Drosophila melanogaster: one gene and its partner. The protein of the gene in region 1 purifies or fractionates together with the protein of each later gene. This does not show direct contact. Each region holds a gene or a part of one and is shown on either strand. Other genes may lie near its edges.

Region 1 (4,878 bases):
ACTACTGTCCTGGCAGTCAGCTCAAGCCCCAACATACAAAGTGTCCCTAATTCGTACCAACCAATAGAACCAATAATTCAGGGTTACTTCTCGTTCGGTCAACTGATGGGTAACTGCTGCGGTACAGTTTAGGTACAGATACAGATACGGATAGATAACCTTTAACCCCAACTTATGAGTGAGCCTGAGACAAGCATACTTTAGATACCCTGCCCACATGCACACACTCACATATATATATATATATATATATATATATGTACATATATACACTGTTTGTTCAGTTTGTTGTTTTTAACTTCCTGTCCCACGTAGAAGGACTTTTACATGCATGTAGAACTAGTTACCGTTACCGTTTCCGTTTCCGATTTCGTTTAGAATGTTAGACACATACATATTTAGTAGCTTAATCCAATCACAGCTGATTCTTTTGAACACAACTTGTTATTTGCTGATCCCAATTTTCTAAAACAAAAAGATGGTAGAACAAATATGAATAGAAAAGAGTCACGTCAATTTGCATCGAAAGCGGAAACGGCAACAAACACCCACAAAGGATTAAGATAATGATATAAGTAATGATTAGCGTAAATGGGAGGATTTAAACAATTATTATGCTAAATGAAATATACTATTAAAAACCTATGTACCATACGTTGTGCGTAATGCCCAAACTAAACGTGATAAAAGACTGTTACCAACTACATACACACATACATAATACCGAGATGGAAACAACCGTAAATCTAAAACTAAAACCTAAACTTAAATCGGCATAGTTTCGCATGAAAAGGTAATATATACATACATACATAAATATAACAAATATATTCATACGCGCACTAAAAGGAAGCGTTGCATAGTTTAATTACATTTACCGTACGAACACTTTTTATAGATGTTTAATGTTGTTATGGTTAAGATAAATCCGGACGAATTGATGGATTTTGGCCAAGCACGGTGCACTGCATATATGTAGCAAGTGAGCCAAGTACAATTTACACAAATGTATACATAATTAGATGCATATATGGTTCGATGTAAACTAATAATAAATCGATGTAAAAGCGTAAAAACGGAAGTTAAGAAACCACACACACACACAAACACACACACCCACAAAAACCAGAAAAAGCTGAGGCGACAAAAATATGAGAACTCTGTTAAATGTTTGTTATGCATTTGTTTTTTTTTTTATCTAAATTAATATTAAACTAATGTATTAGTGAATAAACTTGTGTACCTACATACAAAACAATGATAAAGCAGTTATGGCGGTGGTTTTATTTGTTTTTCTTCCAAAATAATAATTGCAAGAGCTGTACGAAAGTAATAAATTACTTCGATGCCAGAACGTTAAATAATTTCTTTAAATGTTTTATATTTCATTTTGTGGCATTCAATGCTTATTTTTTTTTTTTTGAACGTTTGGCGCTGCATTTACCACAATCAGTGATTTAAGCAAATAGTGGGGAAAACCCTTTTGTGAAAGTGAAAAAAAGTTAGCTTTTTCTTAAAGTTATTCTAGATTTCGTATCAATTCAGTGCTCAGACTATCGAGAAAGAGTGAACATCTATCGACAGGCTAGTATCGACACGGGCACCGACGGTCACACTGTCCGAATCCGAACTATCAGCCTATCGCTCTCCGATAGCAGCAGTCGCTACTTGTCCGAACCAATCGCCTATCGGGGAGACTGCGTGGCTGCTGCGTTCCGTAAAACGCAAAGAAGCCAAAAAGCAAGGGCATTCGCATTGACCAAAGCACCAAACGCTGCTCCTTTTCGAAAAACTTCAGTGCGCTTTTATTTCCCCGCCGCTGTCACCGCTTTAAGGAGCACCAACATCTAATTATTGAAAATCCTAACGAACAGTTTAGTCGAACAGTGTAAAAGCGTGAAAAGAAAAGAAAGGAACGAATAAAATAAAAGAAAAACCGCTAAGCGAGTTCCGCAAAATGAGTGGGGATGTGGCTGCCGAAAATGTAAGTGCCCTAAACGAAATATCCATTCCTTTTTTATGTAATGTGCAAACGTGTTGAATGGGGGGACTTTGCCTGCCGCCTGCAGCCTGCCTGTCAGTCCCAAAAAATCAAGTTAAATTCTGAACCGCATAATTGTAGGGTGCACAGGATAGTTGCAAGTGTACCGCTCGCTGCTGGCAGCTGGCAGCGACGCCGACAGCGCTGCCAGCAGAGTGCGTAAAATACAACGAGCAGAGAAAAAAAAGTAAGAAGAGGTCTTTTGGTAATTGACGAAAATGGCGACAATGCAAGTGGGAAAAGGTGAAGGATGGTGTGAAGCAGGGAGGGGAAGAGCCGAGGCAGACGAAATGTATTTGGCACAGTGTGGCCGCAGCTGGCTGGTATTTTAATCAAAACTGGTATTTTCACCAGCCACTCGAACGTTGCCTTTCCACATTTTTCCCCCTCAAAAACACCCTTTAACTAACTCATTTCCCTGCATTTCCACTGCAACTTGCCTTATTTACGTTCGCATAGCGTCTCAATTTCCCTGTTCTTCGTAGATTACCACCAAGTTTGGTCACACTGCCCTCTTCCACACACATAATATCACATGTGTTTGCTGCTGTTGTTGTTGTTGTTGTTGGTTGTGGACCGCTGCTTTCATGTACATATGTAATTGCAAGTGTCCCATTTTGCAATTACACTTCTACATGCACATACATATACGAAGGTGTTCCGTCGTCTGATAAGACAGATGTGCCACCCCAAAACAGCCAAAAACAAATAAAAGCATTAACTAGAAAATGCTCCGGATGAATAATATGCAACCACAATAACAACAATAACCCCGTGGGGATGTGTTTGTGTGTGTAGCTGTTAAAAAAAAAAAAAAAAATGCAAAAAGTGTAAAAAAAAAGCAACGATTTTCTGTATTCTAAACGACTCTTGTGCGTGTGTGGGTGTCATTGTTTGGCAAGGTGTTTTTTAAATATATATTAACCTATTCCAAGTGATTCGGAAACAATTTTCAATTTCCTGTCGCCATCGCTCGGCGGCTCTTCTTCTTCGATTAACCCATTGCTGGTAGTTTAAAGTGAATTTTCCTACGCGGCATTTGTTAGGGTTGATTTTCACCACGTGGTGAGCGGATAGACACGAGATAATAGCCAATCATCGCCAGAAATCGAGAGGAAATCGAGTAGATCCACAAGCGACCAGTTGGGCCAACATGACGGATGCACAGGTTTCTGGCCCGGATTCACTCTCACTTTTCAGCTGGTCCATCTACATATATACGTACTAACTAACTGATACCATCTCCCTTTCTTCTTTCTTCCATCTCGCCATCTCTCTCGCGCCCGCAGAGCATCCACATACAAAATGGTGGCAGCTGCGAGGTGGTTCAATCCAACGGGGTGACCACCAATGGACACGGACACCACCACCATCATCACCACAGCAGCAGCAGCAGCAGCAGCAGCAAGCATAAATCCTCCAGCAAGGACAAGCATCGTGATAGGGAGAGGGAGCACAAGAGCTCCAATTCCTCCAGCTCGTCGAAGGAGCACAAGAGCAGCAGTCGGTACGTATGTAGGAGCAGATCGATTTGACTCGACTCTATGCGATTCGATTCGAATCGGGCCACTCGTGTCGAACCATCTGGAACAGTCCAAATAGGTCAAAGTCAGGAAAGGACAATGTAATCACCTGGGATTCATAATAGTGCTTACATTAAGAGACAGTTGTTCCCCATGTGCTCATTGTTATAGTTCTTATAATCAATTTACAGTGCCAAACTAATGAAATGTAGGTAGCTATCACTTTAAAGGTATTCCGTCTAAAATGGCCTAAGTTTCTATGTTCAGTTCCTAAGTAATTTAAATTATCTCCCAAGAAAGCGACTTTAGATAGAAGCTGGAAGAAAAGGTGCATATGTATATAGAATGAGAAACTGCAATCAGACCAGATAATTCAATATTATATACAGAGTAATGCTTTTTTCAGAGCTATAGATTAGGCTATAACATTTCACAAGGAATCCAACTAATAACCCTAACCTTTTACATTTTAGCGACAAGGATCGACACAAGAGCAGCAGTTCGTCGTCAAAGCATCGGGACAAGGACAAGGAGCGCGATGGCAGCAGCAACTCGCATCGCAGCGGCTCATCGTCCAGCCACAAGGATAAGGATGGGAGCAGCAGCAGCAAGCACAAGTCGTCGTCGGGCCACCACAAGAGGTCCTCGAAGGATAAGGAGCGACGCGATAAGGACAAGGATCGCGGCAGCAGTTCATCCAGTCGGCACAAGTCCTCGTCCAGCTCCCGTGACAAAGAGCGCAGCAGCAGCAGTCACAAGAGCAGCTCCTCTTCATCCTCATCGAAGAGCAAACATTCCAGTTCGCGGCACAGCAGCTCATCTTCCTCGAAAGACCAGCCATCGTACGATGGCGTATTTGTTAAGCCGGAGCCCGTTTCCCAACAGCTGATGCACTCGGGCTCGGTGGATGCTTTCCAGATGCAACAGCTCGGTAGCTACGAAGCCGCAGCCGCCGGCACCAATTTTAATGGCAATGGAAACGTTGCCGGTGCCAACTATAAGAACGGCTACGAGGAATCGATCGTAGACATCAAGAAGGAGGAGGAGAGCTTTAACAATCTGTCGCAAGCCAGCTCCTGTGACTACTCCATGTCCCAGTTTCGTGCCGATGAGCCGCCGTTTGTGGTGAAGCACGAGCAGAGCTACGCCGAAGAGGACAGCACCATGAACTACAATGATCACGACGACGACGCCGACGAGATGAACGACGACGAGGAGGATGTGCCGCTGGCCATGCGCAAGCGCAAACAGGAGGCAACCGATCGTCCTGATGGCGGCATGGATAACGACGATGACGACGACATTCCGCTGCTG
Region 2 (7,106 bases), on another chromosome or scaffold:
CGGTCGGAGAGCTCCTTCCACTTTTTGGTCAAGTAGTTCAGGTCATAGTCGCGCGGCACTCGTCCGGTGGCGAAAATGGGGTCGCTCTCCATCATGTCGATGTACATTTGGTACTGCTCCGATGAGGTGCGTTTCTTGCGGCGGTCCATCTTGCCGTTCATCCGGGTATCCTTGCTCTGTGCCTGCGTGCTCGATGCCGTGTTTAAATAGCTGGCAAAAGCCCTAAAATGCAAATCGACGCCACCAAGCGATGCGAGATGTTCACAAACAATTTACGCATTTAGCGTTTGGGATTTTCTAGTTGCATTTTGTTGCTGTTGGCGCAGGGTTGCATTCGGCACGCCAGTGGTGCGCATCTGGCGGGAAGCCAAAAAAGCAATTAGATGCCATGCGATAGTTATGGCTAGATGTGCAATAAATAATTCAATTTTGTTGCAATAAAAACATGCGGATTCAGAAATGATTTGTCACAATATTTATTAGCGGTTTCATATAAATCAATAATACATTTCAAAATATATGTGCAAAAAGTATTTCGTCGAACGATATGCATAACAACAGTCTTAAAAACGACTAATTGGTATATGGTACACACTACTCAAGAATTTGTTTTCAACGAATGCCTACTGTACTACTTATTGAGCGTTCCGCGGCTTTTAATTCGAGGCGAAATCAGCAGGTCCCTCTGAGCTCACATATTATATTACATTATACATTATATCAATGTGCATGGCTAGCATGGGCTATAATTCCGGAACGTACTCGAATCCGGGATTATTGTACTTGAAGCGGGCTATCTTAAAGTGCAGCGATGCCTCGTGTATGTCCGAAATGCGTTTCAGCTGCTCCTGGATTTTCTCTCCATAGAAGGCAGACGGTTCTTTCGCGGCAGATTGATCAGATGTGACATCCGCGACTGAAATCAAGGCTATGTCCCTTTATAGGATATTTAGTATTTACATTAGATTTGCGTCTACCCACCTTCGTAGATAATCTCACTGGAACCATCGAGCCTTAGCTTTTTCGCGGCACTGTGACCATTGATGATCGTTGGGTTGGCTTGCTCGTGAGGCTCTGCTATGAACTGCTGGTACTGCACCTCCTCCTCCTCCTCCTCATCCACCAACTCCTCCAGGTTCTCATTCTCTTCTTCATCCAGTTCCTCTTGCTCCTCCATCAGTTCGTGCAGGCGCATCGAAATTCCCTCGCGAAAATTCGGTTCTAAGGAGAAGATCTGCAGGGCTCTGTTCTCCAGAGGAGTCATTGCATTGCTCTTGTCATCCGAGTTGATGCTGCGTCGGTATTTGGAGCGCGTGCTGTTCTTCCAGTCGTTGAGGCGCTATAAGCATGACACACTGTGGGCTTGTACACTCGATACCCAACTGGTTACAACATACCTTTCGCCATTCCTCGGGCGACAAAGTGGGACCCGTGGAGCACTTGTTTAGCAGATCGCTGAGCTCCTTCCACTTCTTGCCGTCCTGGGTGCGACTCAGTTTGTTGGCCGACATCGGGGGATTCTCCTCCATGAAGTCTAGGTATACTTCGTATTGGTAGTACGACGTCCGCTTGTTGCGTCGATTCATTTTGGGGATCCAAATTATGACCAACAATTGAAAACAAACAAATTGAAACAGACGCCACAAAAAGGCAATAAAGCAACGAGCTATCGATAACACAAACAATTAAGGCTCCGAAATTAAATACCAAAACCGAAATACCAAACTATTTTAGAAAATATCAAAATAATTGTTTGGTTCTCCTAGGTTCGAAAAGAAGTTTCTTGGAATTTGTAATTTACCCGCGCCACAATCTCACAAGATTGTGTAATACATCTAAAAATATTTATTTTTCTCAAAATATCACATTTCAATTTATAAAATAAATTGGTCTAGTTCTTTAAGCATTTTTTGTGTATTTCGTAATTTTTGTAACAAAGCTAGTCCTGCTTTTTCAATCAAGTTCAATCAGAGGGTAGAACAGCTAGTAGAACCGCTGACTCAACATATTTTCCAAACCTTTTTTATTTAAAATTTGTATTCTGAAGTAATTCAAAAGTATATCAATCTCCGTGGTCTGCAGCATTTAACTGTACGCGACGAACGGTATCACCGTAGTGGTCAAAAAAATCAAGTTTCCTGCATTTTCAGGTGTAAAATTAACTGAGATATAGTGCGATTTCTGGCCCGAAAATTGTGCTATTTTACAGAACAGGCCACTGACCACCACATAGACCGCAAGAGAATACGGATAATGCGTCCCCTAGCCCGGAAAAGGCCGCTGGAAAACGAGGATTGAGAACCGAATTGCGAACCAGATGATAGAGTAGCGTGCCAGCCAGCGAGTGCGAGCGAGAGAGGGCGAGAGGAGCAGAGTGAGAGAGAGAGGAGGACAGAGTAGACACAAAACTTCAGGCCCGAGTTCTCGCCCATCTTACGGCCGATTTTACAGCCCATATAGCCGCTATATAGTCGCCAGAATGGCGGAGGAGAATCCCGGAGCTCTTGCCGCCAACGTGCCCTATTTGGGAGTGGATGAGTTGGGCGCATCGGTGATTGTGGAGCCTGGTTTGGAAGGATCCAATGCCGGAGGCCGGACGCTACCGGCTGCGGCCATTAAGTTTGCTGATCTCACCGAGAGCGGCAGTGAGTCGGGAGACAACGAGGCCGAGGAACCTGTATCCGCTGGCCCGGATAATGCCAACGCCATCGGTGAGCCGGGCACCAGTGCATCCGCCGCGGAGGAGAACGGAACAGTAGAGCGCAACTCGCCGCCGCCCAATTGCGCCATCTGCTTGTCCCGCTGCAGGAGGAAGTGCTTCACGGACTCGTGCATGCACCAGTTCTGCTTCAAGTGCCTGTGCGAGTGGAGCAAGGTAACCAGTCCGCAGGCGAGTAAACCATTATTTTAACCATCTAATTATTCTCGATTGCAGATAAAGCCCGAGTGTCCACTGTGTAAGCAGCCCTTCAGAACCATCATACACAATGTCCGCACCCTGGACGACTACGATCGCTACCCGGTGCAGACTACGTCGCCGGTTCCAACAGAAAATCCCTCCCTACGTTACCACATTGTGAGGCGTCCCAGGTACACGCCGCTGGTGCAGAACCAGGCCGTCATTGTCAACGACATCGAGGCGGCCATAGCGGCAGGAGCTGCTGGTGAAGATGTGCTTTCGGCGGCAGAAGTAGCAGCTGGCAGGCGATCGTACAGCCGCTTTGAGCCGTATCGCTCGGAGCTGATGAATTACTACCAGCACGATCAGGATGCATCCACGTCGGGTTCATTGAGCCAGCTCTGGCGACGTTATGTGTACGATAGAAAGCTGTATGCTCTGCCCGTCAGCGACAGCGTGACTGGACACTTTCGAGAGTGGAGCGCCCGTTTTTACAGGTCTGTTCGTATACCTAAAACCGCATACTTAACCATACTGATTTCGATTTCAAATCCTTGCTTATAGAAACAATCCTGCTCAGATTCATCGCCTGATGCCTTGGATCCATCGCGACATCATGTGCCTACTGAGGAATGCCGCACATAGCGTAAATACTGTGATGACTCTGATGAGCGACCTCCTGCCCATGACTAGCTTACTAGGTCCTACATTCCGTCGACGGCTGTCGCCGTATCTCGGCGAGCGCACCAGTCACTTTATCCACGAACTGTTTAACTTTGCCCGCTCCCCGTATGACATAAACGGTTACGATCATGTGGTGCAGTATTCGGCACGAGTGGCTGAGGAGGTGGAGGTGGATCTGTTGGACATGGTGGAGACACAATCCTCGAACGGTGATGATCTGAATTTGGAGGTCGGAGATAGCGATGCGGATGCTATAAACGCTGGCTTCTCTCCGGATTGGAGCCCCCCTAGGGTACGCCCGTCGACCAGTGTGATTGTGACCAATCCTGGTGCCACACATTCCTTCAGCGTGACAATGGCCAGTGATGGCAGTGAGCTGCCGGGGATTTCCATACGCCGTACAACCAATGTGGGCTCACAAACGGTTGCCATTAACCTGAGCATGAGGCGCCCAGCGGCGGTTGCCAGCGAGGAACCAGAGGTCATCGAGATCGACGACGGCGATGCGGCCGCAAATGCAGAGGTGGCGGCCATCAATGATGGCAGCAACACCAGTAGGAGACACGCAGGTGCTACTCTTCCAGTGACGGCGCACATCGAACTGGAGAGCAGCAGCAGTTCCGGCGATGAGGATGAGTGCGTCTTTGTGCTGGAGCTGAAGCCACCACACATGCGCACTCCCGAACAGGTGAGCCTTGACTCAAATAGTGACTCCGATGTGGTGTTCGTAAATGAGCAGCACGAAGCTGCGCCGGACGCAATTGCCGAAAACCGGTCGACACAATCCCCTTTGGATCTGGCCTCCAGGGATCAGGGCCTGTTTATGGGGCCCAGCACAAGTGGCGCAGCGGCCAACAGAGGCAAGAACTGGAAGCTGGTCATGGCGCAGACACGGCGCCTCGATCAGTTGCGCACGCTGCGCTCTATACGTTCGAAGAAATCACGCCGTTCATCCATGCCTGCCCGCAGTGACAGTGGCAGCAGCCCCAGCAGCTGCAGCAGCTCCTCCTTTCACTTCAGCAGCAGCAGCGATGAGGATAGCAGTGACAGTAGTACCACCAACTCCGAGCCACCCAAGAAAAAGTCACGCAAGCGAGTGGCGAATAATAAGCGCTCTAAAAAGGAGTCAATCGGGAAAAGGACATCTCGTAAACGGAAGGCCAAAGACCAGAATATGGAAATGCTTGAGCAGCAGCAGATAAGCCAAAAGAAGCCCCAGCGCCAACCGGAAAGCAGCAGTGACAGTCCAAGTTCGTCCGATGACGAGTCAGGTGGCGATAGCAGCGAGTCATCCGGTAAGTGGTTTGTGAATCTAGACGGTTCTTATCAGCATGTATGAATGTATGTATAACACCACACATTCTGAACAGGAAAACACTAGAATGATCTCTAAAAACAATCAAAAAACTATTTATTATCCTATCAGATCAAACTTGTATAATTACACAAATTTGTTTTCTAGGTCAACCCAACACGAACAACAACAAATCCAGCAGCGATTCCGATGATGATAGCGCTGTAAACATGCAGCTCAGTGCCTTGCGCGCCACACTAAAAGCGGAGGCAACTCTGGAGGATAGGAAACCTGTAAAACTGGAGCTTCAGTTGCCGGATGACGACCAGGCGGGGCCCCTCCACTCACGGATGACTCCATCGCCGAGAGAGGATAACGAACCGGGTTGCAGTGCACCGAAACGGCGACGCAGTTGCAGCCACAGCAATCAGTCCAGCCAGAGTGCCAGTTTGGCCAGCAGTTCGACAGCCACCTCGAGCTCGGCTCCATTAAGTTCGTTTGCCTGGGGAGCAGCGGGCTTTTCCGGCGATCCGCTGATGCGCGGACATCCGGCGATGGAAGAGCACGACATAGCCAACTCCCTAATCGAACTGTCCACTCTAACGCAGCCTGTGAACATCGGACTCTTCAACGAGCATTATAATTCGGCAGAGAATTCCATGGGCATGCTGAGCAACACGTTGTGCGACAGCCCACAAACTTTGGCGGCGGATGACGCCAATCTAGAGAACTATTTCGATACAGATGCGGATCCGGAGGCCAGCCGTGAACGGGATGCCTATTCGCTGGAGGCCGCAATCGATGTAGTTGGCGAATCAGAGTTGCAAATCGCCGAGGATACAGCCACTGCCACCGAAGAACAAGATGAGGAGGACGAAGAGGATGAAGATCAAGAGGAAGACGACCAGGAAGAGGAAAAAGCTGCGGAGGAAGAAGAGGAAGAGGAGGAGGACGACGATGATAGCGACAACCACGATGAAAACGATGAGAATCAGGGACTACTGCCGTATTAAGCATAAGCCACTGATTTAGATTTTCATTTAAGTTGCTAGTGTAAGGGAATGTTTAACTGGTTTCCGTCTTGTCTTGTTCCGATTCCTGAAATCCCCAAACCCCATAAAATAATATTTGTAATTGTAACTCATGTATTGTAGGCCTAAGATTGCCATTTTAAGTTGTACATACATATATAAACACCCATCCCAACATTATTTAAATGTTCTGTCATACATACATATACCACCCCCCCCCTTCCACATCAAAAGACGCATTCAATATCCCCCTGAAGAACATCGATTGTAAATGTATTCACGTAGGTTAGCGGCATCTATAACTAACTAACTATAAACAATGGCAACTAACTTTACTATCGTAGCTTTTAAATCGTAGAATTAGCGCTGATCAATGTATGAGGAGGGTGTTAATGTTTTTTGCATAAGTGGGCGTGGCCAGTTATGAATTTTAGTGTACTCAACATACAATGAACAAAAGATATCTGTAATACGAATCAAATACATAATAAATGTAAAGATTAAATTAAAGATAAATAAGTGTCATTTCATATTTCGTAAAGTTCTAAAAGTAATTCTCATTGGATCAAGGATGCCCCCCGGCATAGGCACCTTGCGCATTTTTTTTTTTGTTAAATTTATGCATATTTTGTTTCAATTCAATGTTTCCAGTGATTTCAGAGTATATTCGATTTCCGATGTCCCGATTTGTCACGATTTGCAGGTTAATTTATGGCATTGTCTAAACAGTCCCTTACTTTCCACACTTGACATTAGGCATCGTGTAGATGCGCCCCAAATAAAAACGTGCCACAGAGCCGTTGTGCCTGCGCAATAAGCAAAACTTTTTCGCTGAGTTTCAATTGGAATTGTTTAAAGAACGAGCTAATTGTTTAATTCCTATAAGGTAAATACTGTATCATATTGCACAGCTGGAAAAGTTCCATTTCGCGAGCGACAGTGAGCAGTGAAATCAGTATTAAATCGAATTTGTGATTGACAATTCCAGGAATTTTCGTTCACGTGTAAAGTTTCTGTTTCTGTTTTTTCTTCGAACAATTTCGACATTGTCGACACGTGGAGTGCAGCAACAATGATGCCACGGCACATGGTCCAATGGCGCATATATGTCTACGCCAATTCGCTATATTCTCTGCCGGATCGTGAAACGGGCGACTTTCGCGGCTGGTCCCCCGAATATTTCCGGTGAGTGAAAATT

What was found.
Region 2: the proteins of Top1 (region 1) and Topors purify together in Drosophila melanogaster (affinity purification with western blotting, with the first as the bait; one study listed by BioGRID). This does not show direct contact.

The regions. Positions count from the first base shown.
Region 1 is NC_004354.4:15,317,824-15,322,701, forward strand, and holds the start of Top1 (topoisomerase 1), read left to right. Parts: upstream 1-1,668; 5' UTR 1,669-1,957; coding exon 1,958-1,984; intron 1,985-2,130; exon of another isoform or gene 2,131-2,214; intron 2,215-2,545; exon of another isoform or gene 2,546-3,194; coding exon of another isoform or gene 3,195-3,209; intron 3,210-3,330; coding exon 3,331-3,548; intron 3,549-4,037; coding exon 4,038-4,878. UniProt on the Drosophila melanogaster protein: Releases the supercoiling and torsional tension of DNA introduced during the DNA replication and transcription by transiently cleaving and rejoining one strand of the DNA duplex.
Region 2 is NT_033778.4:18,970,848-18,977,953, forward strand, and holds Topors (topoisomerase I-interacting protein), read left to right. Parts: upstream 1-1,764; 5' UTR 1,765-2,091; exon of another isoform or gene 2,092-2,150; 5' UTR 2,151-2,479; coding exon 2,480-2,875; intron 2,876-2,935; coding exon 2,936-3,396; intron 3,397-3,463; coding exon 3,464-4,878; intron 4,879-5,045; coding exon 5,046-5,890; 3' UTR 5,891-6,415; downstream 6,416-7,106. Other genes in the region: prod (proliferation disrupter), read right to left, coding at 1-161; CG15107 (uncharacterized protein), read right to left, coding at 744-928, 982-1,339, 1,398-1,586; CG18605 (uncharacterized protein), read left to right, coding at 6,981-7,093. UniProt on the Drosophila melanogaster protein: Functions as a ubiquitin-protein E3 ligase. Negatively regulates the transcriptional repressor hairy/hry by promoting its ubiquitination and subsequent degradation. Also directs the nuclear organization of the gypsy chromatin insulator.